4 linked regions of the Tamandua tetradactyla genome follow. The protein of the gene in region 1 purifies or fractionates together with the protein of each later gene. This does not show direct contact. Links are inferred from orthologs where the notes say so. Each region holds a gene or a part of one and is shown on either strand. Other genes may lie near its edges.

The links.
Region 2: the proteins of PPP1CC (region 1) and PFDN6 purify together in Homo sapiens (affinity purification with mass spectrometry; 4 studies listed by BioGRID and IntAct, with this or other methods). This does not show direct contact. The link is inferred for Tamandua tetradactyla from reciprocal best matches to the Homo sapiens genes PPP1CC and PFDN6.
Region 3: the proteins of PPP1CC (region 1) and RPL27 purify together in Homo sapiens (affinity purification with mass spectrometry; 3 studies listed by BioGRID and IntAct, with this or other methods). This does not show direct contact. The link is inferred for Tamandua tetradactyla from reciprocal best matches to the Homo sapiens genes PPP1CC and RPL27.
Region 4: the proteins of PPP1CC (region 1) and PDRG1 purify together in Homo sapiens (affinity purification with mass spectrometry; 6 studies listed by BioGRID and IntAct, counting the BioPlex papers as one, with this or other methods). This does not show direct contact. The link is inferred for Tamandua tetradactyla from reciprocal best matches to the Homo sapiens genes PPP1CC and PDRG1.

Annotation. Positions count from the first base shown.
Region 1 is NC_135331.1:11,472,290-11,480,230, forward strand, and holds the start of PPP1CC (serine/threonine-protein phosphatase PP1-gamma catalytic subunit), read right to left. Parts: upstream 3,013-7,941; 5' UTR 2,798-3,012; coding exon 2,743-2,797; intron 1,224-2,742; exon of another isoform or gene 1,209-1,223; coding exon of another isoform or gene 1,190-1,208; intron 1-1,189. UniProt on the Homo sapiens protein: Protein phosphatase that associates with over 200 regulatory proteins to form highly specific holoenzymes which dephosphorylate hundreds of biological targets.
Region 2 is NC_135331.1:89,218,721-89,225,995, reverse strand, and holds PFDN6 (prefoldin subunit 6), read right to left. Parts: upstream 2,267-7,275; 5' UTR 1,950-2,266; intron 1,729-1,949; 5' UTR 1,714-1,728; coding exon 1,650-1,713; intron 1,393-1,649; coding exon 1,322-1,392; intron 1,244-1,321; coding exon 1,119-1,243; intron 887-1,118; coding exon 757-886; 3' UTR 504-756; downstream 1-503. Other genes in the region: WDR46 (WD repeat-containing protein 46), read left to right, coding at 2,410-2,478, 2,596-2,793, 2,903-2,983, 3,121-3,233, 3,356-3,443, 3,598-3,659, 3,928-4,032, 4,769-4,919 and 2 more. UniProt on the Homo sapiens protein: Binds specifically to cytosolic chaperonin (c-CPN) and transfers target proteins to it. Binds to nascent polypeptide chain and promotes folding in an environment in which there are many competing pathways for nonnative proteins.
Region 3 is NC_135332.1:24,233,453-24,241,437, forward strand, and holds the start of RPL27 (large ribosomal subunit protein eL27), read right to left. Parts: upstream 3,015-7,985; 5' UTR 2,892-3,014; intron 2,651-2,891; 5' UTR 2,649-2,650; coding exon 2,568-2,648; intron 1,669-2,567; coding exon 1,499-1,668; intron 304-1,498; coding exon 193-303; intron 85-192; coding exon 36-84; 3' UTR 1-35. Other genes in the region: RUNDC1 (RUN domain-containing protein 1), read right to left, coding at 7,863-7,985.
Region 4 is NC_135327.1:21,175,902-21,183,897, reverse strand, and holds the start of PDRG1 (p53 and DNA damage-regulated protein 1), read right to left. Parts: upstream 3,005-7,996; 5' UTR 2,878-3,004; coding exon 2,779-2,877; intron 1,443-2,778; coding exon 1,367-1,442; intron 318-1,366; coding exon 243-317; intron 1-242. UniProt on the Homo sapiens protein: May play a role in chaperone-mediated protein folding.

The sequences.
Region 1 (7,941 bases):
ATGCTTTTGCAAACTACAATGTGAAGTAAGTTACAACCACTTGCTGTGCAAGAAAAGCGCTAGCCATCACTGACCCTTGAATGGGGTCGCTTACAAAATAAGTCTGCCCTCAAAACTGACCTTTCTCCAATGTACAATATCCGAATACTGATTTCTTTTCTCTCTAAATCCCCCAAGTTTTATTGTGTAGTATTTATATAAGTGAACCTCAGTCATACTAGGAAATAACTTGAATAATTTATCTATCAACAGGAAGGCAGAGCTTCCTTGGATAAAATTTCTGAGGTGGGACACAGAAGTGATACTTCAGCTTAAGGAAAAACTAAACATTTATAGTAGAAAAAGAACTGCGAAGCTAGTGAGTAAGGTCTAAACCAGCATTCTGTTTTTCTTAAACTGGACTTAAGTTTGAGTTGTCTTTTCAGTGCTAACCAAGGACTTACACTGATAGCTTGTACAGTCCTTGACCATAAAGATCAGACACTCTGAACACATAAAAAATGTCTAACAATGTCACAAAACTCCTTTTCTCTCCATTTTCAGATTTATTTAATCTAATTAAATTTTTTAGGCTTGAAAAAGGCTTTTGGGGCATTACAAAATTCAATAACTTTATTGAATCTCTCAACTTTGATGGATACTTATCCTCAAGGAATCCTCTTCAACTGTTTCCCTGCCAATCTAACATCCATGAGACAAGAATTTAACTATGTTGTGCAGCTACAGTATTCCCAAGGAATTAAAATGCACTGCTTTATTCTATTATTTGTAGTGAAAAATGAAAATTTCAAAATCTGGTTTTCAAGTACAGCATAACGCATTAAGAGGGATTATTAAGAAACAGTGATTGATCTCATTTTACATGAGCCAAGCTCATCAAGGCAACAAGATTAAATTAACAAAGCCTGTTATGTGACTACAGAGACAATTATGGGCAAAACCAGAACTTCAGTTGAGACCTAAATACATATATATATTCCTGTACAGAAGTATAGTTAATTTAAGATTTTAAATGAAAATATTTAATAAAAGTTTCTTTCCCACTGCAAAAGTTTTAATCAGTTTCTAACAGAGTACTGCTACACAGAAATCAAAGAACTGTACTGACTAGTACGGAAAGCATTTGAATATTTTTTATAGCCTGTGTTTCTTATAATAAATCCCAGGAACTGAATGACAAGGATTTCACCTGCAAATGGCAGTGTCATTAACAGCACTTCAGGGTTTCTTATACATATTCTGTGGGTTGTTCTTTTAAGAAAGCTAGAAAGTACTGCAAAAGAAAAAAAAAGGCACTGATTTAAGAAAAGGAAGAGTTTTTTAGGAGTTTCATTTTAATGATTTACTTCAAAAGTTCTGCAAATTCTAACACCAGAGGTGCCCAACTGTTCATACTCTCCTCTATCACACATTTAAATTCCAACAATATTTTAGGACAGCATAAAGGCAAAAAGCAGTTAAAACTCAGACAAATCTACACGATTTAGTGCCTAAATCAAGAATGAGAATTACTTGAACTCTTCCAAAGTCTGGGAAAGATGTTTGTATTAGGAGATATGCTCTGGAATACCCACGTAGTTCTATGTGGCCTCCCTCTTTAAAATCTGAAGCTCACCGCTTTCCATATCAATAAGAATCAATTGCCAGGCACCTCACAAGTCTTAGGTCCGCCAACACGAAAGCTTTAACTTAACCTTTTCTTAACCATGGGACACTTCCATTTTCCTTTACACATTGGGTCATCTATAGGATGAGAGTTGAAATGTAGAGAGTTCTGGCTCCTGGCTTTGAAACCTGTCACTACCTGTGTGACCTTGGACAAATGACTTCACCTCTCTGTGTCTTAAGTTTCGTATGTACAACGGGAAAAATAATAGCACCTACCCCATAAGGTTATGAGAATGAAATTAAATCTGTAAAGGGATGCCAGACACATAGTGAAGTCCTTAGAAGTGTTGGCTATTATTATTGTTAGAATCTGAAGAACGCAAAGCGCTGGACCCAGACCCTGGTACACTGGAAAGATAATGACACAGTCATCGCTGATTTCAAGTTCACAAGCACGCTCATGAAAAAGGGCGCGGAGCCCTATCGAAGATAAGGAAGGATAACTTAAAAGGTTATCTGGGGGTTAGGGAGAGATGAATTCTTACGTCCCCTTCAGATAATGAGCGTTCACTACCAAGTATGAAGAAATGGAACCCCGACCCCAGTCCACACACACAAAAAAGAAAGCAAGATATGAATAAAGCCCCCAAACCCGATGAAACCAACTCCCCTAATAAATTGCTTTTTGAGAAAAAGTACCAGAAACTCGATCCTGGCCAGAATAAAGCACGGTACACGCCGTCCTGCAGGTTGAACCGAGCCCCCCCAATCTCCTCTCCCAAGACCCGTCGTCCAGTTTGCCGGGGGGAGAGGGGGGGATGGGGGAGGAGAGAGTATGGGTGGGAAACGTGGGGGTAGGCGGCGGAATTTTCAAATTTTACAGGCAGGAGGAAGGCTGCAGCCTCGTGTAACGAATGAGCCGGGCCGGGAGAGGCCGCGGGCTGGGTCAGGTTCGGGACCCGGCCCGGCCTCCCTCCGGCCGGCGGCAGCCCCTGGCCCCGCGGGCCAACTTGCGGGCTCGCTCCCCTCACCGCCGCAAGCCCAACCGGCTTCCCAACTCCCCTCCCGCGAGCCCCGGGGCCGCCTGCCGCCCCTGGGCCCAGCTCCCCTCAGCCCGCCCGCCGCCCCCCTCACCTTCCAGCAGCCGTTGGATGATGCTGTCGATGTTGAGTTTATCTATATCCGCCATCGCCTTCCCGCCGCCGACCCTCCCGCAGCGGCGCCACCGCCGGCTCGCGCTCGGGACCCACACCTCCTTTCCCACGCCACGAGCACACAGACGGTGGTGGCGGCGGTGGCAGCAGCCGCGGCGGGTCCCCCCCCAGCCGCCCCGCTCCCTGCTTCCTCCTTCTCTCCCCGCTGGAACCACGAGAAGAACAAAATGGCCGATGACTGCTTAGCCAGCCTCGGGCGGCGCACGGATGCGAGCGGGGGAGTGCAGCGGCCCGGCCGGGACTTCTTTACGGGCCATAGGGCGCGCCGAAGGGGGCGGAGTCCGGACGCTGGAAAGGGGGCGGAGCCAGAGCGCGGGTAGGGGCAGGAGACGGTTGAGCGTAACTTGCGAGCGCACGGGATCCTTCCGCCAAGCGGGCCGAGCAAATAGGCCCTTCTGGCCGGAGCGGGAGTTGTAAAGTTGCACGCGGGAATTGGGGCTGGAGGGGACGGTCCAGATATGCGCCCTAGCGACTTCGGCCTTCGTCGGATCAAGTTCTTTGAGGCCAGATGTTTTCAGACCTGGCATGTGGAAGACCGACTAGGCATTTCAAGGGCTCCTGGAATTTGCCCTTTAAAATAAATCTGGTTTGGGAGTGGAAAGGGAGATTATTAAAGAGAAGTAGGTAGACTTCTTTTGCATTCAAATTTTCTGGGATTGAGAGGAGAAAGGAGAGGTTTGTCTGGTTGCTTTAAAAACCCTTTCCCAGATAAGTCAAAATATTGTTGTTTATTCTAAGGTATGGAAATGTGCGTATCTGTATATTTTGTGTGTCACTTCTGTGAGTTTTTACATTAAAAAAGAAAAAAGCTTAAAAAGTCATCCTGGGACGGTGGCTCACAGGGTGGTGGCTCAGTGGCAGAGTTCTCGCCTGCCATGCTGGAGACCAGGGTTCGATTCCCGGTACCTGGCCGTGCAATTCAGAAAAAAAAAAAGTCATCCTCCAAAGAAAATATCCATCCTCTCTATCTTTAGATAATCTTTTTGAAACTCGGGAAGTTATAGTATCATCGGAACGGTAACCCTCAATCTAATCAGAGCCAAGTTTGCAGAAGATAAAGGGAGAATGTGTAGATTTCTGAGTTTTTGGCCGGAAGAACGAGTTGGCAGAGGCTGGTAGTGCGGGGGGAGGTCTCGAATTCTGCGGACACCCCGGGAAACTTTGGTCCATTTCCTCGGGCTTCCCAGCCTCCCCAGCGGGCATCCCTCTTCAGGGCGGGGCAGAAAGTGTGCGGCTTCCGAGGGTTGCGCATCGCCTTTAGCTGGGTTTGGAGGTGCTCTCTTTTCTGATCTTTCCCAGTAATCCGTTCTTCTCCTGCTGCGCCCTACAGTAAGTTTGCAAGGCCCTTTGCTCCCACAGAGAAATTCAGTTTGTTTCTCGAGGCATGCAGGGTGCCCGAATCCCCATCCCTAAATACTAGCAAGGTGATTACGCTGCGGGCATTCATCTTCGGAAGCAGCGCCCTCCAAGGGGCCCAGGCAGGCCCCCTGCGTCCTGGCTTGCGCCCCTGTCGCCGCTGGAGTGGAGGAGCTGGTGTCCAGCCGGCTCTGCACAACCGCTAACTCCACTCTCCCGAGTCGCCAGCTCACTCCCCCGTGCTGAGGCTCTGGCCACCAAAAGCCACACAAGTGTCATTTGTAAGCCCAGGGCACCGAGCCCAGTCGGTGACATTCTGACGGGTGCCCAGCACTGCTGTGATGGCTCACACAGGAGTCCACGAGACCTTGAGCTCCGCGGTGGGCAGGGCATGTCATTGCCAAGGCAATTACAGCAGGAATATGAAAGACTGCGATTCATTCAGCAAACAGATATTTACAGAACATGTACTCTGGCCAAGCATAGTTCTAGGCCGGGAAGCAAAACAGACAAGCTCCTTCTCTCGTGGACAGTCAGCTAGTAAGCCAGCCAGACAGTAAATCAACAAAGACTCAAATAAAAATATCAGCTTCTGATAAGTGCGGCAGAAAAAAAACAAACACTGCACTCACTTTCTTCATTTGTGCCAAAACATTATCTCATTGAATCCCCAAGACAATCCTACGTGTTGTGTACTATCCCTACCCATCCCCATTTTACAGCTGAACTGAGGCACAGAGAGACTAGGTCACTTGCTGAAGGTCACACAGCTAGTAAGTCAGAGGCTGGAACCTCAGGAGAGCCTGAGAGCAAAAGCGTTCATATTCAATAAATCCCCATTGTGAATTCCCAGCCCCTGACACAATCCTGGCGCACACCAAACACTTCATAAACGCAGAACCCAATGGAGCAACCCACGCATGTATCTTCCCACAGTAAGAGTGCCGTAATTTTCCAGCTGCAAAATGGAAGGTGTGTTAACCTCCACTGACATCATCAGTTCTGGAGGAGGACTTGGGTCTGGGCTGGGACATAGGCTGTGCCTCTGTCCACATGCCACTGTAAGTTTGGGCAACTCCCCTCCAGAGTCCAGTTTCGCTGGCACATGCCTAAAGGAATTAGCCGACTCAGAGCCTGAGAGCGAGCTCACACGGCTAAGTGTGAACAGATCCTGGGAATCGGCAAACCGCTCACAGAGGAAAGAACCGATTCCTTATTGGCCTGTTTCTGCAATAATCAATGCTGGTGGTCTCCCTAAGGACGAGGCAGACACATTCATTTCACCTGAAAGGGTGTTGCCATTTACTGAAGGGTGCCTTCCTCCTCTAGGCCTCAGTTTGCCAATCTGTAAAATGAGGAGAGTGGGTTAAATGTTACTTCTTTTTGTACTGCCTTCCTTGGATCTACAGAACTTTCTTAGAGAGCTACTGAGGAGGGTGGGAGCTAACGGGTTCTGTTTCCAACCCCTTGAGTCCAGCAAAGTAGAGGCATAACCCACAGTAAGTATGCAATCAATATTAATTATCCTTACTTTTATCTAATACATTGAGCTTCCATTGAGATTTGGAAAGAGGGGCTATGTCTAAAATATTTGAAAACCAGTAGTATCTCTCAGGACCCTTTAGAGTTTGAGGGGGATCCGAAGCCTACGGGGACCAGGCCGACAGCGCGAAAGAATTACGTTGGCTGAGTAGTGACTTTTATGAATTGCAGAGCCCACTCCCCAGCTAGGGGGTGTCCATTTCCCAGCTCCAGTCCATGGGGAACATAATGAGCCCAGTATGGCCAGATTCTCTGATTTTTTTTTTTCCAAAGGATCTTGGATATATGGATTTTTATGTGAAATGTTTCAATTTGTAAAAGATGGTTGTGAATTCAAATCCTTCCAAAATATGGCACAAGGCAGACAAGCATGTGTGGGGGCTGCAGTGAATGGAAGCTTTCTGGTAAAGCCTGCAGCTTTATTTCAATGTCCTGTGAAATTACCAGAAGTCACTTATTCTTTTGGAAAATGTTTATTGAGGCTTTACAAGGCTCCAGGCCTTCTGCGAGAAGCTGGGGACACAGTAGTAAGCAAACCAGACAGTCCTTGCCTCGTTGAACTTCCAATCTGGTGGAAAAGATGGAAAGGAACAGATAACTCAATCAAAGAAGATAATTTCTGAGAGTGGTAAATTGCTATGAGGAAATTAGAAGGGCTCATGTGACCACATAGGGAGAGGGACTCTGAGGGGGTGACATTTGAATAAGACCTGAAGGATGAGAAGGAGGAAGTCATGGGGAGACCTGCAACGGGGAAGAGCATCCCCAGCAGAGGGAACCGCGAATGCAAAGGTCCTGGGGCAGGAATAAGTTTCCCGTGTTGGAGGAATGGAAAGAAGACCAGAGCAGCTGGAGTGTAGAGTGAGGAAGAGAGTATTAGGAGGTGAGGTCGGAGAGGTGGCCAGCTGGTTCATGGCTTTATAGGCCACGGAAAGTCATTCAAATTTTATTCTAAGCCTAATGGGAAGTCACTGCAGGATTTTGGGTCAAGGAGTAACATGATCTGATTTTATATTTTTAAAGACGCTTTATATTTTGGAATAATTTTTTATTTACAGAAACATCACAAAGATGATACAGAGAGGTCCCTAATACCCTTGACTCAGTTTCTCCTAGTGTTTCATCTTATATAACCATAACATTACTCTTTTTTTCCATGATACCGAAATCATAAAGAAAGGTTAGATCATGACATATCAGGTAGCATCAGAACTCTGAAAGCATCTTCACCTAAATAAGATCTGATTTCATTTTCTAAAGATCTCTTCAGTTGCTGAGGGGAGAATGGACTGTAGGTGGGCAGGAGTGGGAGCCCTGAGACCAGGGAGAAGGCCGCTGACAGGTGCGGCTTTATCACTCTGAGCCTCAGTTTCCTCATCTGCAAAGTGAGAATGACATCACCCATCTCAGAAGGTCATTGTGAGAATTTACCTTCCCACGTGCTTGGGGACTTGGTAAAAATAATGGTGACAATGCTGACGGCGATAGTTGACATTTACTGAGTGCTTGCTATGTGACAGTTTCTGTGCTCACGGCTTTTCCTGCAGAATCTTGACGCTCATCCTCACCCCATTTTAGGAGTTAGGCTGGGAAAGAGGAGATTATTTGTAACCCCAGCTAGGGAAGGACAGGGCTCGGATTTATCTGACTTCACACCTCCTTTCATCAAACTGAGGAGTCGCGTTTTTAGGGATGAGGGAAATTGAATTCTTTGGGCCAGGAGTTCAGATGTTCCCAGAATCCTTCTCGGAGGAGGGACATTTAGATGGGTTCTTTCGAAATCTCTTGAACCATCTTCGGTCCTCATGAGTCTTCGTTGGCGTTGGGCGAGTCTCTCTTTGTGAAGGCCCCAAACACCCTTCCAGCTCTACTTACCCAACGGACAAATTAGGATGATTTGCTAATTTGACCAATACCGCCTTGCTAAATGTTCCTGAGCTTCACAAAATGACTCACTCCGCAGTCAGGAAAGCAGCAAGCTGTCCCCGGATCTGGAGTGTGCATTGCATGGCCATTGGCAACTTCCTCTGGCAAAGGGGAGCTCACTTTGGACCAGGGTTTCTTAGCCTCGGCTTTCTGGGCCAGATAATTCTTTGCTGTAGAGGCAAGGGGTGGGGGTGGTGGGCATTGTAGATGTTTGGTAGAATCCCTGGCCTCCACCCACTAGATGCAGGTAGGACAAACCGCCCCCCAACCCACCCAGGTGTGACAATCAAAACTG
Region 2 (7,275 bases), about 78 Mb from region 1:
GATTCCTCAGAATGGTTTATTCCTCTCCAGCAACATCTCCATTCCCATTCCCTTTATTGCTTTTAAAGTTTTCTTCCTCAGGTATCAGACCCAGGTCAAGTAGTAGTCATCAAATTAAAGCACTCAGTATCAGGAACTCCCTTAGCTATAATTTGTAAAAAAAAAAAAAAAATTGTGGACATTGCACAGCTTAGAGGAATTATAATACTGTAAGGCATTTTGTGCTGGAATTTTAAATTAGCTCAAACTACATTCCAGTAAATTCTGGGAACACAGAGGTTGAAAAGATCTAAAAGAGATGCCAGGGCAATTTAGAGGATGACAAGGGTTCACTAGAAGGAGGGTAACTGCAGTTCACCTTGGGGTCTCAGATTAAGATAACCACGACTTCTTCAACTAAATTGGTATTCCCAACAATAGCTGCATTACAAATGCCATTCCTATGTTTTCAAAACAGTTGTGTCAACCAAGATAAGGGAGAGTTCAGGGTTGTATATACAGACAAAATGCACGTTTGCTTAAGACATTCCTGACTTTAATGACAAAAGGATACCCTGCCACACAGACTCTAGAATCTGGACCTACAGGAGTACTGCAGGTGTTGTACAAGGTGGAAGGGGTGGAAAAACGGATGGAGAGAATCATGACAGAAGTAGATTGTCAGAAAACAGAGCCAGTATTTTCACATTTTATTAGTTACAGTATAGATCCTAGAGCTGCCTCACTCCCTCCCCTCCCCTCCCCCCCACCAAGAGGTCAGGCCTTCTCAGGAGCCCCTGCCTTTGCTGCCTGGGCCCGCTGGAACTCCTGCTGCAGCTGAGCAAGCGTCTCCCTCTGTTGCTCTGACTGCCGCTCAAGGTCTCGGAGTTGGGATTCATATCGTTTACTGAGGGAGACAAAGGAAACTAAGATCAGAAAATGAGAAATTAGTGGGACTTAGTAGCGATGGTGCTGAAGGCAAGAAAGAGATTGGTGGAAAAGCTGAGAACTAGGGGAGGAGCGGGATGAGAAAATTGGACAACTGGGCACCTCTATGGAAAGCTGCTCTACAGTGTTTCCAAAACAACTCTACTCTAATGGTACTGGTTACATTACAGGGAAGTGAAGCAAAGACTCACATTTCAGCGGTAATATAGTCCAGCCTCTTCCCTACTGTGGCTTGGGCCTCCCCGAGCTCTTGTTTGACCAACACAGGACCAAGAAGTTTAAAGACCACGTTGGATCCATCCAGCAGGGCCAGTTCCTGAAGGAGTGGACATATACCATCAGAACCACCGTCAGAACAGGTCCCTCCTCACCCCACAAAATCCCAAGCCCTCACCTCCTTCACGATATTATTTTCTGTCAGCTGTGCCTCAAGTTTCTGTCGCCCTGACATGGACTTACTCAAGTCTGAGGGGTGGGGTGGGAGGAAAGATGTGATTAGAGACATCAAATGTGTTACCCGCCCCCCACAACCAAAATCAGAAGAGAACAGACGAAGTAGACAAGGATGGGAGCCGTGGGTCAGCGGGTGGAGGATAGTAATGAGGTAGGGAAGAGGCTGCACGCGGGGCCCGGTGGGACAGAAGACTTTACCTTCATTATGGCTTTGGGTTGTGGGTGAGTGAAGGGATTGGGGCGGGGCCACACCAACCCTGCTCCCTTACCCTTCTGTAGCTGTTGATATTTCTCCACTTCTCCCTGTAGTTTCTTTTGGATCAGCTCAGCCATAGCTGGGTCGAAGACCTGAGGGGAGCAGGAGAGGGGCACTAGGTTTCACACGCCGAAAGGCACCCGAGCTCCCCTTGCTGGCCTGGTCGGAGGAAACTACAGCACTTTTGAGAGACAGCCCGCCGGGAAACCGCAGTTTCTCCCGGTTGGGATATCGGTTCTACCCAGGCCCCGGGGCAGGGGCTATGGAGAGATGAGAGCCCCAAACCCCTCAGCCCAAGCCCTGCCCTACTCACGTTCTCCCTTCAGTATTACTAAACCCGGAAGTAATTGTGGCAACCCGCGTCAAGAGCGTGCCGGAAGTGGCCTTCTGATTCAAGCCGGGAAATGTAGTCCTGACACGTTTAACGCTAGCGCACTCCTAAAAAGTCCGCACTCGGAAGGATTTGGAAAAGATGGGAAAACAAAGCCTGGAAACCAAACTACACCGTTACTTCGGCTCTGGCCCTGGATTTGGCTCTTTTTCTTTCGCAAGGGCATCATTACTCTGGCAAAAGCCGCTGTTCTGGAAGGCGGTGCCAAGGCCTGCCCCGCCCATCAGGAGAAAGGGCGCCCTCTTTCAACATGGCGCCGAGAGGGCCTCAGACCTGACGCGGCCCTGATTGGGTGAAGGCCAGAGGACTTCCGGGAGTTTCTAAGCCTACAGTGGGACGGCTGAACCGAGTTTGCACGTGGGTCATCAACATTGTGGTCTTGATGGAGACGGCCCCCAAGCCGGGTGGGGATGTTCCGCCCAACAAGAACAAAATTCAGGTCCAGAAGAAGGTAGAGACCCCCTTGGGGCGGGAAGGAAAGTGTTTAATTGCGGGGTGATGGAGGGGATGGAGGGGGCGGGTCGGGGAAGCGGGCAGCGGAGCCTTAGGGCCTCTGATCTGCCGGCAGAAACCTCGGCGATACTGGGAGGGAGAAGACGTGGCTTCGACTACTGCCGGAGTTTCTCCAGGGCCCCCTCGTCGCAAGAAGAGAAAGAGGGATCTCCGCCCCCAGAAGCCAAAGAAGACTCATATTCTAAAGAAGTCTCGGGTCACCAAGAAGCCTCGGGTTCGGAGGAATCCGGAGCCTGAACGGAGCTTGTCTGGGGTGAGACTGAGGCCTGATAGGGTGGCAGGGCAAGGCATCTTGTGCCTTGAGAGTGCGAAGGTTGAGGTCAACTCGAGCTTGTTAGCTAGTCTCCTCCTTTTTACTCCAGGCCCAGGACCCATTCCCAGGCCCTTCTCCCGTCCCTGTGGAAGCGACCCAGAAGTTCCGTCGTATTGACAGATCCAAAAAGGTGAGACTTAGCCGGGGAGTGGGGAGGGGTTGGAGACAGGGAGGTTGGATGGAGGTGGGGCCAGGTGATTCTCCTGTGACCCCCTCCACATGTCCACTATTTTTTTGCCCCCAACCCTTGCTCTCCCAATGATATAGTTACTACATGCTAAATCCAAAACCCGAAACAGACTTGAGGTCGCTGAAGCTGAAGAAGAGGAAGCAAGTGTCAGAGCTGCTCGTTCTGAGCTGCTGCTTGCTGAGGAGCCTGGGTGAGTAGACCCTGATCTGGGCATTCCCAGCCCTTGCTTTATGGGGCTCCTCTTTCTCATTTCTATGTGGGTATGTCCGCTTCATCTTAAGAAGATTTTTTTTGCAATAACCCTTTTTGCAGGTTTCTGGAAGGGGAAGATGGAGAAGACACGGCCAAGATACGTCAGGCTGACATTGTGGAGGCTGTGGACATTGCCAGTGCAGCCAAGGTTAGCCTGAGCCTGGGGCAGGGGCCACAAAACTGATTGGTTGTTCAGAGCAAGAGGGATATGAGAAATAGAAGAGGGAGTTGATGAAATGAGCTAGTTCTCTGTTGACTTTTTATTTTATTTTATTTTATTTTTTAACTCTTCCTCTTTGCAGCACTTTGACTTGAATCTGCGGCAGTTTGGACCCTATAGGCTGAACTACTCTCGAACTGGGAGGTAATGTTGAATTCCAGGGACTCTTGAACTGAGATGTGGTAGTGTCTGCTAAACTGCAGTTGTGCCCACCTCAGCAAACAATCCAGTGTATGTTGGGGTTGTTGATGAAGGGAGGATCCTGTGATTTGCCTAGATATGAGTGGACCCTCTTGAACAACATCTGTCCTCTCACTTGGAGAGGAAGAGCTGGCCTGGGGGCAGACCTCGAATTGTCTGAGTCACAGTGTTTTCCTACACTGACACCCTGCCTGTTCCCCATTTCTAATAGACACTTGGCTTTCGGAGGTCGTCGGGGTCATGTGGCTGCCCTTGACTGGGTGACAAAGAAGCTCATGTGTGAGATCAATGTCATGGAGGCTGTGCGGGACATCCGGTTAGTGACCTCCTATAAGTGCTTATGGGGACTGAGACACCCCATCCCTCTAAAAAGTTTTTTAAAACATTTTTTACTGTAAAATATACAATAATTATAAAAAAAGCCATAATTTTCAAAGCACGTTTTAACTTTGAAGAACAGATTTCAAAGTTTGGTATAGGTTGCAATTCCCCATTTTCAGGTTTTTCCTTCTAGCTGCTTTAAAACACTGGAAGCTAAAATAAATATCATTATAGTGACTCAGCAATCGTACTCATTGTTAAAGCCTATCTTTTCTGTTATAACTCTTTCTCTCCCTTGATCTTTCTCCCAATGTTTAGGGGTATTTGGGCTATGCCCATTCTAACTTTTTCATGTGGGAAGGGGCTGTTGATAATATGGGAGGGGGATGGAACTAGTTGACATTCTGGAAGGCTGACCCCTCTGGGTTTCAGGACTTATCTGGCCTACGAACCCTCTAGTCCTAAGTGTTCTTTAGGGTTAATAGGAATGATGTTTGTTGGGGTATGGCAGACCATGACAATGAGCACTATCTCACTGAGGCTTACATAAGCGTAGCCTCCAGAATAGCCTCTTGACTCCATTTGAACTCTCTTAGCCATTGATGCCTTATTTTGTTAAATTTCTTTTTCCTCTTTTAGTCCAGAAGGCATTGTCAATCCCTCAGTGCCAGAGCCCCATTCCTTTTTTAATGACAGTCTGTGATCTGTTTTCCCACTGAATCACCTATCAGATTTTTGCACTCGGAGGCACTGCTTGCTGTTGCTCAGAACCGCTGGCTTCACATCTATGATAACCAGGGCATCGAGCTCCACTGCATCCGCCGCTGTGACCGCGTCACACGGCTTGAGTTCCTGCCCTTCCACTTCCTACTGGCCACAGCTGTGAGTGGCTGGAGCATAAGAACCGGGTTGGCAGCCCTTGACAGGATCCTGCCCCATTTGGGACTGGGGTTGGGGGAAGACAGAGCGCAATCAGGACCAGTTATTCTTTCTCTCTTTTACAGTCAGAAACAGGGTTTCTGACCTACCTGGATGTGTCAGTGGGGAAGATAGTGGCAGCTTTAAATGCTCGGGCTGGACGGCTTGACATCATGACTCAGAACCCTTACAATGCCATCATTCATCTTGGACACAGCAATGGTCAGTCCGTGGCTTAGCTTTGACTCTGGCTATTCTCACTTGTTTTTCTTCTGTATTTATACTTGACAAGTCCCTTAACTTGTACTTTTACCTTTTTGTCTTGTACTTCTTGGTTTGAGTATCCACTTTTCCTAGATTTAATAACCTCAGCGCCTCACCTGTAACTTTAGCTGTGCTCCTGTGACTTTCAGGTACTGTGTCCTTATGGAGTCCAGCCATGAAGGAACCACTGGCTAAGATTCTTTGTCACCGTGGTGGGGTCCGGGCTGTGACAGTAGATTCTACAGGCACGTAAGTCACTTGTTTGGGGATGAAATACTGGGGTCACAGATGGGGTCATGGGTAAGGAAGTGAATGTGCCTTTTTAGCACAGACCCTGCAGACAGATTGCTTGGGTTTAATTCCTGGTGTTACCACTTGCAGCATGTTACTGCGGGTACAGAAAAGCGAACTTCAGAAAGGGCCAGATGGTAAATATTTTTTTAAAATTTTTTTTATTTTTAATTTAATTTTTTTTTACATGGGCAGGCACCGGGAATTGAACCGGGTCCTCTGGCATGGCAGGCAAGCATTCTTGCCTGCTGAGCCACCGTGACCCACCCCAGATGGTAAATATTTTATGTTTTGTAGGTTAGTAGGCAAAATTGAGAGTAATATGCAGAAATTTAAATAATAAGAAAGAAAAGAAATTGTGACAAATTTTCAAGCAATGGAATACAAGATATGATAATCACTTAACCTTTGTAATACAGGTTGTTTAGTTTGCTAGGTGCTGAAATGCAATTACCAGAAACAGAATGGCTTTTAAAAGGGGGAGTTTAATAAGTTGTTAGTTTACAATTCTAAGGCTGTGGAAATGTCCAAATTAAAGCAAATCTATAAGAATGTCCAAATTAAGGTGCCAAAAAGAGGTTGCCTTCACTCAAGAAAGGCCAATGAAGTTCAGGGTTTCCCTTTCAACTGGAAAGTCACATGGCAAAAATGGTGATGTCTGCTAGCTTTCTCTCCAGGCTTCTTGTTTCATGAAGCTCCCCTAGGGGTGTTTTCCTATATCTCCAGAGGTCTCTGGCTACCTGGGCTCTTGACCTTGTGGCTCTCTCAAGACTCTGTCTCTCTTTCCAAAAGGCTTCCTCTTTTTCCCCCTCATTTTTTTTTTTAATTTGATTATTTGTTTTTTTATTGTTGAGTTGTAAGAATTCTTTATAAATTCTGTATACAAGTCTCTTACCAGATTTACAAATATTTTCTCCCATTCCATGGGTCGTCTTTTTACTTTCTTTTTTTTTAAATTTTTTAAACTTGTTTTTTATTTATGATACATAACCACATACAGACACAAACATTCTTATATGATCATTCAGTTCTTGTTATATAATCAGTAACTCACACTGTCATCACATAGTTGTATAATCATCATCATGATCATTTCTTAGAACATCTGTATCAATTCAGAAAAAGAAATAAAAATAAAACAAAAAAATTAATGCATACCCTACCCCTTATCTCTCCCCTTCACTGATCACCAGCATTTCAATCTGCTAAATTTATTTTAACATTTGTTCCCCCTATTATTTATTTATTTTTAATCCATATGTTTTAATTGTCCATCAATAAGGTAGACAAAAGGAGCATCAGACGCAAGGCTCTCATAACCACACAATCACACTGCGACAGCCATATCATCATGCAATTATCTTCAAGAAACGTGGCCACTAGAGCATAGCTCCACATTTTCAGGCAGTTCCCTCCAGCCTCTCCATTACATCTTGACTAACAAGGTGATATCTATTTAATGCATAAGAATAACCTCCAGGATAACCTCTCGACTCATTTGGAATCTCTCAGCCACTGATACTTTATTTTGTCTCATTTAGCTCTTCTTCCTTTTGGTTGAGAAGATTTTCTCAATCCCTTGATGCTGAGTTCCAACTCATTCTAGGATTTCTGTCCCATGTTGCCAGGAAGGTCCACACCCCTGGTTGTCATGTCCCACGTAGAGATGGGGAGGGCAGTGAGTTTGCTTGTTGTGTCGACCGAGAGAGGCCACATCTGAGCAATGGAAGAGGTTCTCTTGGGGGTGATTCTTAGGCCTAATTTT
Region 3 (7,985 bases), on another chromosome or scaffold:
TTTAAATCATTTTTAATGATTGAAACAAAAAATATCTAAAACCGCAGCTTCTGGAAGAACCACTTATTTTTGCCCGTCTTGTATCTAGAAGGAAAAAAAGGACAACAATGAGGAAAGGAACAGGGAGATGGAATTCCCTTCATAGGGAACAGTGAAACCATACCTCAACATTCATCACCAAAGCCTACTTACCTCTCCTCGAACTTGACCTTGGCCTCGCGCCGGGCCTTGCGTTTAAGAGCAGGATCTCTGAAGACGTCCTTGTTGACGACGGTTTTGTCCAAGGGGATATCCACAGAGTACCTGAATGGATGGCCAAAAGATAAATGGCAGGGAGGTAGGATCAGTCCACATGCTGCCAGGACCTTCAGACTGCTTCTAAGTCCTCCTCGTATATTGGAGTTTCAGGGTTGCACTCCACAGGAACAATCACCAAAAGCTGTGCCAAAATCCTGACGACATTCTTTGGAAACTCAAAATTTAATGGACTCTTTTACATGGATTCAAGCCACAGAAAATCTTTGCTTTCCCTCTCAATTTTCTAAGCTAAGAACCCTCACTTTATTAGACCTCTTTGCTTTCACCATAGCAATTATTTCTATTTGGGGCCATTTTCCTTAGTGTTGTTCAAATTCTACGTGTGCAAAGCCACCCAGAATTTCACTGTGAAAATGCAAAAGCCAGGCGGCTAGCACCTGCTAAAATGCATTATCATTTTAGATCAGCAAGTCAAGTGCAGAATTAACATGCAGCCGATAGCAAACTTTAAGGCATGTGCTGCTAGGTTTTGACCCTTACCGACCAGGACTCTCCCAAGATCTTATACTTCTTTATAATCTTTATACCAAGATAGTCTAAGTGCTGCACACTATAATACTGTGAAGGGTCAGCAATTAAAAAGCCCACAATTGAGTGAAACTAATCCAAGAGGCTTTCTTTCACTCATTCACCAACCAGTTTTGAAAACTTATGAGGGTGGAACAGGGAAGAAGGCAGACCAGACCCTATGCCTGTGTTTAGTTACTGCAGATGTAAATAAATGAAGCAATTTTTAACTAACATCAAAAGCATTTACAGGTGAGTGGGGGAGTAAGAAAGAGATACGAAAGAGCAAGCTTGAGATTTTTTCAATCCTTCCAGGCCAAGTCAGGAGTCTTCATAGACTAACTAGGGATTCATGGGAAATACAGTTACAAGGTGCCATGAAAGAGGTAAGACTGGAGTCATGAAAGAGTCTCGGTGATGGTGGTGACAATAGCATAACATTGTGAACATAATCAACACCACTAACATGTACACTTAAAAAGTGGTTAAAAAGGAAATTTTGTTATATAGCACAATTAAAAAAAAAAAAAAGACTGAGAACTATGGCTATTTTATAAGGTAAAGAGTGACAAGTCTTTCCCCCCACCAAGAGTGCAAGGGTGTCTCCAGATTTAGCAGGGCAGAAAGGAAGAAAAGAAATCAGTCATTTTTATTCCCATTCTGAAATGCTCACCTTGTAGGCATGAGGTGATTGTAGTTATAAACTTTCACAAAAGACTTGATCTTTGACCTCTTGGCGATTTTCTTCTTGCCCATAGCAGCTGTCACTTTGCGGGGGTAACGGTCAATTCCAGCCACTAGAGCATGGCTGTAGGGGCGGTCCGAGGTGCCATCATCAATGTTCTAAATGAGGAAGAATTACATTTGGTATTAATTGAGGGCCTATGTAAAAAGAACACCTCTATCCCTGGGTCTCCACTATGTAAGGGGAGAAAATTATACAAAGCAGACCATATTGAGTGCTATGCTAAATTGAATGAAGTGAGGGGAGAGGTATTCATTCCTATCAGTAAGAGACATGGAAAGGCTTTTGGGATGTAAGAGATTTATAGAGTACTTGTAACATGCCAAGCAAAATCCATTAACCTTCTTCATGGACATACTGCTTTAAAGGGTACCGTCAGGACTGGCACTACTATCCTACCCTGTACCTCTTTATCCCCAGGAAGATCAGTCTCAGGAAGATGGAGTAGGGGCAACAGGGCTGCCTAGGTGTCCCAACAATAACAAATAGCTGTGGCCAGAGTCTAGGGATATGTGGCAAAAGCCTACAAAATGTGGGTAAAGGCAAACGATGAAGCTAAATGATCATTTTGACTAAAAGCAAACTCTACTTTTTTTTACAGAATCCCAACTGCAGCACTAAGGATCGGTTTGACCTAAGCAAAATACCCAATATCTCTAAATCTCAGCAGCAATAGAAAGAAGCCCTTATTGTTGCTGTAAGGACTGAGTAAGACAGCACCTGTAACGCAGTGTTAGGCACCTTGCAAGAGTTCAGTAAAAGATGGTCACTATTATTTATTCAAAGTCTCGTTGGTGGAGGTTGCATTATGTTAGGAGTACAACTCCCACATTTGTTTTCATTTGCATCTTCCTCCCACAAAACTTCCCCTGCACTCAATCCCCTCATCGTAATGTTCCTAGCCCCAGAACTAGGGCTTAAGTCCCAAGCCTGCTCGCTCTCGGAATCCTGACCGGTTCCCGAGATGTGCGGGCGTAGAGGCCCGCAAGGCTGGTACCTTCACGATGACGGCTTTGCGTCCGGAGTAGCGTCCGGCCAGCACCAGCACCACCTTCCCGGGCTTCATAAACTTGCCCATTTCTGCGGAGAATAAGGGGAAGGGATGGTTATGAAACGCAGTGGGCCAAATCCGTCTGAGACGACTACTGTGCTCAAGCTCAGGCTGCTCCTGCGGCCGCCCGCGGGCCCTCCTCGCTGTATTGGATTCACTACAAAGCCGCCGGAGGCCGCGGAACAGAACACAGACGGCGTCGCCCGGCAATCCAACCCCCAAGTCGTGGATGGCGGCAGATTGGAAGCCCCTACCCAGTACTCCACTCACCAACAGCAACCACTACGGCCTATGGCAGAAAGAAAAGAACCCTATTTCCGCCGACCTTTCACCCGGAGGCCGTGTGACCTCACATCCGGTACCGCCCCTTAGGTCTCTCGGCGGTACTTGTACAGCGTTCAGACTCCGCCTTGCGGACGGAAGTTCAAGAGGAGGTAGCAAGGCCTGAATCAAACTTTATTAGCTGCTCCGGCAATAGACAACGACGTAAGTTTTGTATGGCTGGCGTACTGATAGAAGAGCAAGCAAGGCGTGTGCGCGCGCGATATTGTAACTCAGCAGCTCGGTTGCCCTCTGTTGTAGTTCCCTTCTCTCGCGCTAGGAGGGAGACACGTCTCCACTCGACTGTTTTGCCTTAGAAGATGCAGAGAACAAAATGGGACGTTTATCGATGCCTACTGTGTGGACTCTTAGGCATAAGGAGGGAGAGACAAAGATCAATTGAATGATTTTACGTCTAGTGATGTCATAACATTAATTAGCTAAGAGAATTAGTGAGGGAGGTGAAGACCTGCTGACTCCATGCTAGGTAGGCAGAGTTATTCTATTCACCTACATTATCTCGTCTGAGCCTCATAACAACACTAGGAGATAGGTTATTATTTCCATTCTACATTGAAGAAATTGAGGTTTCGGGAAATTAAGTAACCATAGCTAGTAAGCAGTAGATCTGGGACTCAGTTAAAGCATTCCATTTCCTGAGTCCATGCTTTTTATCATGTCACCATATTGGGTACTTATTCTGCCAGGCAGCGGGCTAGGCGTTTTATTTAAGTTGACAGCCCATTTAATCCTCACAGCTCTGCATCTCGGGTATTTTCCTCCCATTTGAAGATAAGGAAACTGAGATTCCGAAAGGATAAATTACTTCTCTGGGATTGAACCTGATGAGTGGTGTAGATGGGATTCACATCTAGGTCTAGAAACCAGGTTTAGTTGGCTCTCAAACTATTATTTCCCATCACTCAATGGAAGAGCATTTTTAGATGGTACCGTTCACTGGCTGGAATTCAAGACAAGGAGAACCCTTCCTAAGGTTTTACTCTTCTGAACATTGAGGAACCTACCGAATTGGTTTTGGGGCAAGATGTCGAAACAGTCAGGATAAAGGGTTTCATCACTTCTGTTCTTGAGGCTCTCCAGGGACCAAAATTGCCAGCAGCCCTCAGGATCCCATTCCAATGGTTTATAACTCTAATTATGTAGTTGTATTTTTATATCCAATTAAAATATTTTCTGCTTTAATTTGGAATATGAAATTTTGAAGTTGGAAGGGACCTCGGAGATCATGAAAGATGAGGACAACTCTAGAAAAACAAAGTCAGTTTGTGTCACAGAGCAAGGTCTCCCCACTCTTGTGCTGGTGCTCTTCCCACTACACCACAGTACCCTGTCCATTTCCATGTTTTTGGTCTTCTCTTAGCCTCCTTATCTGCTTTTGCCCCTTTTGTACTTTGTTTTTTTTTCTCCTCTCTTTTTGCTTTTTCCCTTCGGAAATAGGAACCAAACCCTGATACCTTGTAATCACTTTGGACCCTTTCCACAAACCACCTTCCAAGTCAAATTCTGTGAATTTTGCCCTGTGACTTTTAAATCTACCCTTCTCTATCCCTTCCCACCTTCTCCCTAACTAACCTCCTGGCCTCATTGTTTCTCTTCTCCAATACCTTCCTACATTTTAGTGTGGATCAAAATTGCCTGGAATGTTTGTTGAAGGTGCATCTCCATGACAAGAGATTCTGACTTCAGGTCTGGAAGTGGAGCTATATGATGATCTTTTGAGAAACTGCTTTAAACACATCTTTAAGTCCACCACTTATCTGTTAAAATCCTTTAATGGCTTTCTTGCTTCCAAAGTTTGAATTCTCACTCCCACCTATCTATCCTTCAGTATAAGTTCCTATGACTCCTCTTAAACCCTTAAGACAACCCCTGGGCTCCAACCAGCTAAATCTCTTTTGAGCCCTGGGGTCTTTATTCAGCCTGGTCCATGTGACTTTGTAATCCTGTCCAAATTCTACCCATCCTTCAAAGCCATTCCTGAACTCTCCAAGGCAGAATTAATCTCTCTCCTCAGTGCTTTCTCTGCAGTCTACACTTACCTTTATTATAGAACATATATTCATTTTGTTTTGATCAGTGGTTCTCAAAGTATGGTTCCTAGACAAACAGCATCAGCATCACCTGGAAACTTGTAAGAAATGCAAATTCTCAGGCCCTATCCAAGACCGCTCAATCAGAAACTCTGGGAATGGAATCCAGCCATCTGAGTTTTAAAAAGCCACCCAAACTTCCAACTTTTTTTGGTGTCTCCTTTCCAAAATTTCTTGTTCCTTGAGGGCAAGAAGTATGTTTGAATTATCTCCATCCTCAGTACCTAGTCTGGCCCAAGCTGTTGAGAGGACACTCAGTAAGTGTAGACTGAATGAATGCAGTCTGGCTTTGCAGATCAAATTTGTTCTACAACGAATACATTTGCTTTGTTTTCCCAAAGACCCAGCACTTTCACTGAATACATATGCTGGGTCTTTTTCATTCCGTTCCTGCTTAGCCTTACAGATCTGGGCTGACTGTCCTTCCTCTCCTCCCTTGTCCCATCTGCCTCACTCCAAGCCAAGGATAGAGCCCCGTCCTCAGCCCTGACACTGATGATATCAGTGACCAGCAGATATCTGTGACTGTGATGTCAGCTGGATTGCCTGAGTCTACACATAGGTTTCATGGAGAACTAGACAAGGCAATGACTGTCTATCTATCTCCCTGCAACCTAGTCCTCTGGCATCTGAAATTTCCAGCAAGTATGTGGAGAACACCTTCTCCTCCAAAAACTAATGGTGGAGTGAGGGAACGGGAGAGGGATAAAAGGGAACAAGAGATCTAGAAGCAACACAATACAATGAGACCATGTGATAGGCTTTGGAGCCAGACAACTTAGGTTCCAGCTTTTCTACCATGTAAACCAGGATAAAATATTTAACCTCTCTGTGCTTCACTTTCTTCAGCTGTAAAATAAGGATAATGCCTTACAAGTAGTGAAGATTAAATTAAGAAACACACACACAAATGCATCTTGTGAGGCCAGCAGATTTTTATTATACAAGTTAATACAAGTTACTTTTTTTGTGAGGATTAAAAAAGACAACACTGAGATGGTCCTAAGCTATGTCATATGTCTTTATCAGTTATCATCCACTCTAAATTATTTACAGACAAACAGAGAAGGGCCAGTTCCCAAAATATTAATTGTGGTGAGATGTGGTGTGGGGATGGGACTGTAGGCCTGGGTGAGAGGGGGTGATAATGCCAAGGGCAGTTTTTAGTGAGAAAATATTAAAGAAAAATGGAAAACCAAAGCTGAGCTGATTCAGGGTAGAGGGCAGAAGAGCAGAAAGGCCAGGAGCCAGACAGCTCTCAAGGAATCAGGTGGAATGATAGCAAAGTAGCCTTAACCAAAGCAGAGGGTCTCTAGGGTCTTTGCAGAGAAGTTACAGAAAATACTGATTTTATTAGTAACCACGGATACACTTTCTTTCACATTTTACATTTCCTTTGTTTTGCACAGAAGGTGAACTCATTCTAACCAAATATCAATAATGCCTCTTAAATAAGTAACATGTTGCTGAAAAAAAAAATTAAGTTAAAATGCACTACACAATAGTGCAGACAGAAAGTGGAGCTGGCAATTTAATACATGAAAACAATGCTGAATCAGTAGTGTTTGGAGCCTATTTGGTTTCTAGAAATTAACACATTATTTTCCCGTTTTTTGACAGTTCTGGAGTAGTACCTATCACAAACATGTGGACAAGTAGGAACTACAAAGGCTAAAATACTGAAGAACAAATAGGACTACCTTAGAGTCAGTTTACTGTGGAATTATCAGCCCTGCCTGTAAACAACAATCTGCTTAGTACCTATTCCCACTGTGGGAATGGACTGGAAGCCAGCCCAACTTGACTTGTGAATAAACCCTGTGCCATTATCTGAGGGAGAGAAGCAATCCATCATCTAGCTTCCAGGACAAGTGGCCTGTGTGAGTCACAACCCAGAGAGGAATTGCTGCTGGTTATTAATATCGATTCCTGTATACATTCAACTGGGTGGCAAGGATTCTCTCAAGAAGGAGATCTCAAATACTTTACTTCTGAAAAGACTGTGTCAGTCTTGCTGGAAGATACATAGAGAAAAGCTTACTTGCCAGAGGACATATTAGCAGACATTGGTTCTCATTCCTCTTAAAACAACTCAGCTTCAACACAACAAAAAGACCACAGTCTGTGCTGTGAGAAGAGGACTACTTTGTCATAAACAGATTTTTTATCACTACCAGAAAAAGGGTACATATTAAAACTAACTTATGCTTAACTCCCTCAGAAATATTCTCATCCCTAGTTTTAGAGGCAGCAATGGAAAAGACATAGCCTACCCCCATACTGGGATCAGTAAGGAAGGGCCAATATTTATTAAATGAATTTAAACTCTGGCCCTAGTACTCTCAAACCTGCTTTGGGTGAAGGAAAAATGGTTCCCAACTTGACGAACAGGAGCCTCAAGCTGAATGTTTTCCAGGACCAACAACTCACTCATGTTGTCACTCACTGGCATTAACAGAATGGTTAGAGCAATGTGAGTTTTCCAAAAACTACACAGGGCATGACAGATTGGTGGATTAGCTGGGTGCTATGACTGATTTCTTTTACATAGGCTCAAACATATGCACCCACTTGTATACTGTGGTCATATACCAGGGCAGAATCTTTTAACAAGTGAGCCTCTAGCACATCTTTGTGAGATGCTAAATTGGTGGGAAAAACAGACTTTGCAGTCATTTGTTTGGCCACCTAAAGCAGGATCTAGGAAACATTTCTTTAACCCCTCCTCCCATTCTTTGCTCCCATCCTAGAAGACTAACATATCTACTCCTGCTGAGTGAGGCACTGGTCTTGGGCCAGGACATTTTCATCAAAAGGCATCTTTGATGTTCTTGAGCTGGCGCACTGCCAGGTCTACAGGGAGGCTGAACTTGAGGCTGCTGAGACGACTGAGCAGATTGAGGGCACTTTCAAAGCCAGTGTGTGCCATGTA
Region 4 (7,996 bases), on another chromosome or scaffold:
GGTGGTGGTATGATGTACTCTGTATGGGGTTTATGTTAATTTTGTAATTTTCCTGTAAGTTTGAAAGTTTTTCAAAATGAAAAGTTTAAAAAGTTTTTTAAAAAGGCAACCTATATCAGGCTGAACCTGTAACACAGCTGCCTCCCATTAAGCTGCCCAGAGCCTGACTCTTCAATTCTGGGCTACAACCAAGACTGACAGGAGGGCAGCTATGTTCCTGACCCATCCCCAGGACATCTTACCTTTCTCAATCATTTCTTTCGTCTGAGGGTGAGACATCTTGATAAACATACTCCCGAAGCAAACCATCACATCTTCTGAAATGGCAAATGGTCATTTCTTCAACAAGTATTTTTTGAGCACCTACTACCTGCCATGTTTTTTACATGCTAAAAACAGGAGAACCTGACAACATTCTTGTCCTCAAATAGCTTATGTCATAGTGAAGGAAAAAGAAAAGGCTCTTATAAGTGCTGTAGAAAAAAATGAAGCGGGGTAAGAGGTATAGGAAATGCCAGAGTAGAGAAGGGACTTGATACTTATACTGTGTGGTCTGAGAAGGCCTCACTGATTATGTGATATCTGGCCAGAGACCCAAAGGAAGTGAGGGTGTGAGCCCTGCACACATACGGGGGAAGAGTGAACCTGCAAAGGGAACAGGAACAGCAGGGAGTCTAGTATGGTTGGAGTCAATGAGTGAGGGGGAGTGTAGAGATGATGTTAGATCTTGGGGGCTGGACTATGTGAGGCCTTGCAGGACTCTAGACTTTACTTTTATGAGGCACAACTAGAAGGTTTTATACTTTCTGCTGCACTTTAAACAAAACTCAAACTTCTTCCCTTGGCCCCAACACCCTTCGTTACAGCTGGCCTCCGCCCATCTGTCTAGTCTCTCATCTCATGTCCCTTTCCCCTTGCTTATTCTACCACAGCCACTCTAACCCAATCTCTTTAACCCTCAATCCCTTGCGGATTTTCTCAACATCTAACCCATGTCCAATTCCTTTCTTTACTTTCTCACAATTGTCTATTGTGTATTTTATGTGGTTTTACTCACGTGTTAGTGCACAAAGGCAGGAACCACATCATTTTAATACGTTCCCAGCACTTCTGGGAGTGTCTGCCATCACTGAGTCAGGAGCCAACAGCTTGTCACTAAGAAAAGCAGCTGAAATCCCGAGCTCCAGTCTGTGTCAGACCCTGTAACATTTTCTCCCCTATCCTCACGGCCTGTATTAATTCCCCATAAAGCTGAAGAATCATATGTCTGTGGCCTCCTGCCTGGTCTCTATCATGGATAAGGCAAGGACCTTACAAGGAAAACCGAACTGACCTCCAGGACCACAATGAGGAAACTGCAACTTACCAGAGACGCTAAGATCCTTCTGCAGGGCCCTCAGGGCTTCGCGGTTCTGATTCCTTTTAGTATCCAGGTCCACAATCTAAAAAGCAGGGGCAAGGGGCTACTTAGCCACCTCTTGTTCCAACCCTGTCACGTCCCAACAGACCAGGGGCTAGAGAGATGGTAAGACGTCATTCCTTGGTTTCTTTCAACAACCTGTGTGATACTGATGTGTGAACATGTTTCTTCTCCCACTCAGCTTCCCGGTTCTTAAAGACAATACTGTAAGCACATATCTTCCCCTGAGAAGTTGCTGGGAAATGTCTGCTGACTAAATGGATAATTTGTACCATCCACTGGAACATCAGCTCTCAAACTGTATGTCAGAATCACTAGGGGAACATGTTTAAAATGCTCATGCACAAACCTGTCTCCTAGACACTAGGATGAAGCAGGTCCAAGAATCTACTTTTGAACAAGCTCTAATAGCTGACTCTGACCTAACATGCAAAAATCCAACAATGCCAGACTTGGACAACAGGGGTGGAGGCACTGAGACGGTAACAGCATAAGAGCTGCTACAGAAGCGAGGAGGCAGTACAGAAGGCTGCTTGTGACCACTGGCTCTGGAGCCAGAATACCTGGATTTGAATCCTGCTGTTCCCTACCAGTGCTGTTTCCTTCTCTGAAAAACGGAGATGTGAAAGTACCAACCTCACAGGTTACTGAACCAGGAACTAAATGAGTTAGTTAGTACAGTGCCTGATATATAGTAGGCCCTTAATAAACTTTAACTTCTGCTATTATCATCCACATGGTGATACAGTATTTAATTTATCAGGCTCTTCCCCAAGTCTTCCTCTTCTCAGTAAATAATGGCCAACCATCCAATCATTCTAAAGGGAGATGAGAGAGACTCATGTCATTTTGGCCCTGCCTCCCATTCACTCACCTCTATATGTAAACACCATCCTGTCCTACTGAGTCCATCTCCAATTTATATTTCCCACCCTTTCACTTCTCTCCATCACCAGCACTCTGGTCCAAACCCACCTCTGCCTGGACCATAGCAATGGTCCCTCGCTTCTTCCTGCCTCCACCTTTGCCCCTCTATATTCCATATATTCTATATTCACTGCAGCCAGAGGGCTCCTTTTAAAACCTAAATCCAGTTGCGACCTACCCCCACCGCTTACGAACTCCCTAAGCAGGTCCACAGGGCCCTTTGTCAGAAGGCCACTCAAGCCTCTCTTCTGTTCCTCGTCTCTCCTTAAGGCCTTGACTGGTGTGGGGCACCCTAGATCACCAGTCCAGGTCAACTCACAGCGAACCCGTGGTAGAGCTAGATGCCGGCCCCACACGGCTCTGTATACGGCGCTCGCCGCCAGGCCCCAATTATCTCCCCCAGGTCCCAACGCCACGGACGGGCCTCCCACCTGCCGCTTGTCCGCCATCACTTCCTCGGCGAGCTCCTCCACCTCGACCAGGTACTGCAACACCCGCTCCGCCTCCGGTGACAGCACGGCGCCCGCCATCTCCAGGTCCGCAGCAACGCAGCTGTGAACTCCTTCTGGCTCCGTTCGGAATGTGCGGCCTAAGGATCCCTCAGACAGGCCTTCCAGCGCGCAGGCGCAATGAAAGGAGGGTCGCCGGTGCGCAGGCTCCTGCGCAGGCTCGCTTCTGCGCACGCGCGTCAGCGCGTAGGCCCGCTTGCTAGTGCGGGGCGGGGCATCACGTGGGGGCGGGGCTGGAGCTCGCCTCGTAGGCTCCTTGAGTGCCTTTCGCAGCTGGGTGTTGACCCCGTTTCTCTCTTTTCAGATATTTCTTAAGTGCGTCCTTTAGTGGCAGATACTGGTATTCTGGGTGAGCAGTGAACAAAACGAAGCCCTTTCCCTCATGGAACTTCATCCTCCTTGGAAACGCCGCCGACAAAAATTATATGCTACGGCAGGCAATGATAAGGGCTTCAGAGAAACGTGAATCATTCTTCTCCTGTTTGAGCAACACCAAGGAACCCCGAGTGGCATTGTGGCTTTTTTGTGTGTGTGATCATTCCATTCTACATATATAATCAGTAATTAACAATATCATCACATAGTTGCATATTCATCATCATGATCATTTCTTAGAACATTTGCATCAATTCAGAAAAAGAAATAAAAAGACAACAGAAAAATAAAAACAAAAAAAATTATACATACCATACCCCTTACCCCTCCCTTTCATTGATCACTAGCATTTCAAACCAAATTTATTTTAACATTTGTTCCCCTTATTATTTATTTTTATTCCATATGTTCTACTCATCTGTCGACAAGGTAGATATCAGACACAAGGTTTTCACAATCACACAGTCACATTGGGAAAGCTATATCATTATACAATCATCATCAAGAAACATGGCTACTGGAACACAGCTCTACATTTTCAGGTGGTTCCCGCCAGCCTCTCCATTTCCTCTTGGATAACAAGGTGATATCTACTTAATGCAGAAGAACAACCTCCAGGATAACTTCTCTGTTCTGTTTGGAATCTCTCAGCCATTGACACTTTGTCTCATTTCATTCTTCCCCCTTTTGGTGGAGAGGGTTTTACCAATCCCTCGATGCTGGGTCTCAGCTCATTCTAGGGTTTTTCTCAATCCCTTGATGCTGAGTCTCAGCTCATTCCAGGATTTCTGTCTCACGTTGCCAGGAAGGTCCACACCCCTGGGAGTCATGTCCCATGTAGACAGGGGGAGGGTGGTGAGTTTGCTTGTTGTGTTGGCTGGAGAGAGAGGCCACATCTGAGCAACAAAAGAGGTTCTCTTGGGGGTGACTCTTAAGCCTAATTTTAAGTAGGCTTGACCTATCCTTTGTGGGGTTAAGTTTCATATGAACAAACCCCAAGACTGGGGGCTCAGCTGATAGCTTTGGTTGTCCACACTGCTTGTGAGAATATCAAGAATTCAACTTGAGGAGATTGAATTTTCCCCTGTTCTCACCATTCCCCAAAGGGGACTTTGCAAATACTTTCCCGCTCACTGATCAAATCACTCTGGGATTCATCAGGGCATCACTATAGACAAACCAACAAAATCTCATGTCCTACCCAAGGTTCCATGTACTTATGTTGTTCAACCAAGCTATCTACATAAGTTATATTAGGAAATGCACTAGTCAAAATATAAATTTTGTACCAAATAAACATTTTTTGCTTTAGTCTCACACATAAGTTGAAATTTTAAAATATTAATTACCATCTATTTTCAGCACACTGCAGTAATGACATTCCTTTGTTCTTCCTCATGCAAAAACATTTTTTAGTATTTGTACATTTAGTCACTATCATTATACACTCTAGGCATTCCTAGATTATACCATCTCAATCTTTATCATCTATCTTTCTTTGTGATTTCATTTATGCTCCCAGCCCTCCTCTCTCTATCATTCTCACATACAGCTTCATTCAGTGTTTTAACATAATTGTATTACAGTTAGGTAGTATTGTGCTGTCCATTTCTGAGTTTTTACATTCAGTCCTGTTGCACAATCTGTATCCCTTCAGCTCCAATTACCCAATATCTTACCCTATTTCTATCTCCTGATGGTCTCTGTTACCAATTAAATTCTCCAAGTTTATTCATCATGTCAGATCATATCAGTGAGACCATACAGTATTTGTCCTTTTGTTTCTGGCTAATCACACTCAGCATTATGTCCTTAAGGTGCATCCATGTTGTTACATACTTCATAACTTTATTCTGTCTTACAGCTGCATAATATTCCATCGTATGTATATACCACAGTTTGTTTAGCCACCTGTCTGTTGATGGACATTTTGGCTGTTTCCATCTCTTGGTAATTGTTAATAATGCTGCTATAAACATTGGTGTGTAAATGTCTGTTTGTGTCCTTGGCCTCGTGTCCTTTGAGTAGAGACAGCATATAGATGGGTCCTGTTTTTTAATCCGTTCTGCCAGTCTATGTCTTTTGATTGGGGAGTTTAATCCATTAACATTTAGTGTTATTACTGCACAGGTAGTACTTTCTTCTACTATTTTGCCTTCTGGATTTATATGTCCTATCTAATCTTCCTTCTTTTTACCTTTACTCATAGTCTTTCTTACCACACTCTTCTCCACACCTCTCTCTTCTGTCTTCGTATCTGTCTCTAGTGCTCCCTTTAGTATTTCTTGCAGAGCTGGTCTCTTGGTCACAAATTCTCTCAGTGACTTTTTGTCTGAGAATGTTTTAATTTCTCCCTCATTTTTGAAGGACAATTTTTCTGAATATAGAATTCTTGGTTGGCAGTTTTTCTCTTTTAATAATTAAAATATATCATCCCACTGTCTTCTCACCTCCATGGTTTCTGTTGAGAGATCTGTGCATAGTCTTATTGGGCTTCCCTTGTATGTGATGGATTGCTTTTCTCTTGCTGCTTTCAAGATTCTCTCTTTCTCTTTGACCTCTGACATTCTGATTTGTAAGTGTCTTGGAGTACATCTATTTGGATCTATTCTCTTTGGGGTACGCTGCACTTCTTGGATCTGTAATTTTAAGTCTTTCATAAGAGTTGGGAAATTTTCAGTGATAATTTCCTCCATTAGTTTTTCTCCTCCTTTTCCCTTCTTTTCTCCTTCTGGGATACCCACAACACGTATATTTGTGTGCTTCATATTGCCCTTCAATTCCCTGAGTCCCTGCTCATATTTTTCCATTTTTTACCTATATTTACTTTTTCTTGTCGGATTTCAGATGTTCCATCCTCCAGTTCACTAATCCTATGTTCTGCCTCTTGAAATCTACCATTGTAGGTTTCCATTGTTTTTTTTCCATCTCTTCTACTGTGCCTTTCATTCCCATAAGCTCTGTGATTTGTTTTTTCAGACTTTTGATTTCTTCTTTTTGTTCATTCCTTGCCTTCTTTATATCCTCCCTCAATTCATTGATTTGGTTTTTGATGAGGTTTTCCATGTCTGTTCGTATATTCTGAATTAATTGTGTCAGCTCCTGTATGTCCTTTGAATTGTTGGTTTGTTCCTTTGACTGGGCCATATCTTCAATTTTCCTAGTGTGATTTGTTATTTTTTGCTGGCATCTAAGCATTTAATTACCTTAATTAGTTTATTCTGGAGATTGCTTTCACTTCTTTTACCTAGGGTTTTCTTGCTGGATGAATTTGTTGTCTCTCTGTTCTTTGACATTCAATTCAGCTTTTTCTGGACCTCTAGCTTAGGTTTTGTTTAAAAGAGGAGAATTTTTCAGTTCTTGTTTTCTTGTTTCTTGCCCTGCTTGTATGGTGCCTCCCCCCCTACCCCAGGAGGGTTTTTGTAGGTATTATAGACCCCAAGTGGATTTTCCCAGACCAAACTGGCCTCCTATCAGGAGGAAAGAGTCACCTGCATCGGTTTTCCCTGAGGATGAGACCCAGCAGGTTGAAAGACTTTTCTGTGAAGTCTCTGGGCTCTGTTTTTCTTATCCTGCCCAGTATGTGATGCTTGTCTGCCTGCAGGTCCCACCACCATTAGATGATGCAGTACCTTTAACTTTGGCTGGGGACGTGGTGGAGACAGAGGAGAGGTTGGAGTCTGGTTTTAATGGCTTCAAATTACCAAGCCCTGGTGTCTGAATTCCTTGAGGGAGGGATTCCACCTGAGTTGGGCTTCACCCCTCCCCTGGGGAAGGCACAGGCTCCAGACAAGCCCCCAAAAGAGCTCACTTCTGCCTATGGCTGGGGCAGTTGCAGCCTGAGAAGTCCTGCTGCTATATCCAAAGGCAGTCAAGCTTTTGTAGATACACAGCCACAAAAACCTCTGTTTCCTTTTTTTTTTTTCTTTTTCGGTCAGCCCTGCCCCCTTGGCACCAGGGCAAAAATGAGCGACCTCTGCTTTGACCAGGTTCACCTGAGCTGTGGGCCTATTATTAGTAGTCAGAATTTATTAATTAATGCCACAATTCGTGTTTGGTTGGGCTCAGCCCCTGCTGCTGGTAAAGTCTCTTTCCTTTTCCCTCTGGGAAGCAGCCTGTGAGGGAGGGGTGCCGGCCACCACGGCTTGGGGAACTCACGGTTCTGGGGGGGCTCGCAGCCGGTCCAGCTGGTCCAGACTGGGGTATGCTGTGTGTCTGGTCACTGATGTGGCCCCAGGAGCTGTTCTGCACTGTTTCTAGTTATTTAGTAGTTGTTCTGGAGGACGAACTAAAACGCGCACATTGCTAAGCCGCCATCTTGGCCCGGAACTCCTGTGGCTTATTTTTTTAACCTCTGATATCTTCAGTTTCCAATTTACAAAATGGGGGTGAATAAAAAAATCCCCTGTCATCCATCCACAAGATGGGAAGAAGGCAGAAATCATTTTCTATTCGGTTTGGCCAGTGTTCCTTGAGCCCTTGAGTTGGGCCTAAAGCCCACGCAGCAGACCTGGACCCACGGGAGCTGGAAAACTATGTGCAGCCAGACACGAAGTACCAGCTCGGGAAAGAAGTGTTTTTGTGTGCCAGAAAGGAAATCAGTAAGGGCTGTGGGATCTGGGAGAACGTGCCAGAGGAGGCAGGCTGATGGAAAGTGCTGCCCATCAGAGCCAGAGGTTCCCTAGAGGTCTTCCTGTCCAACCCCCTCATTGCACAGCTGAAAACACTGAGGCAAAGACAGAGGTGAGGACATCGGAAAGTCAAC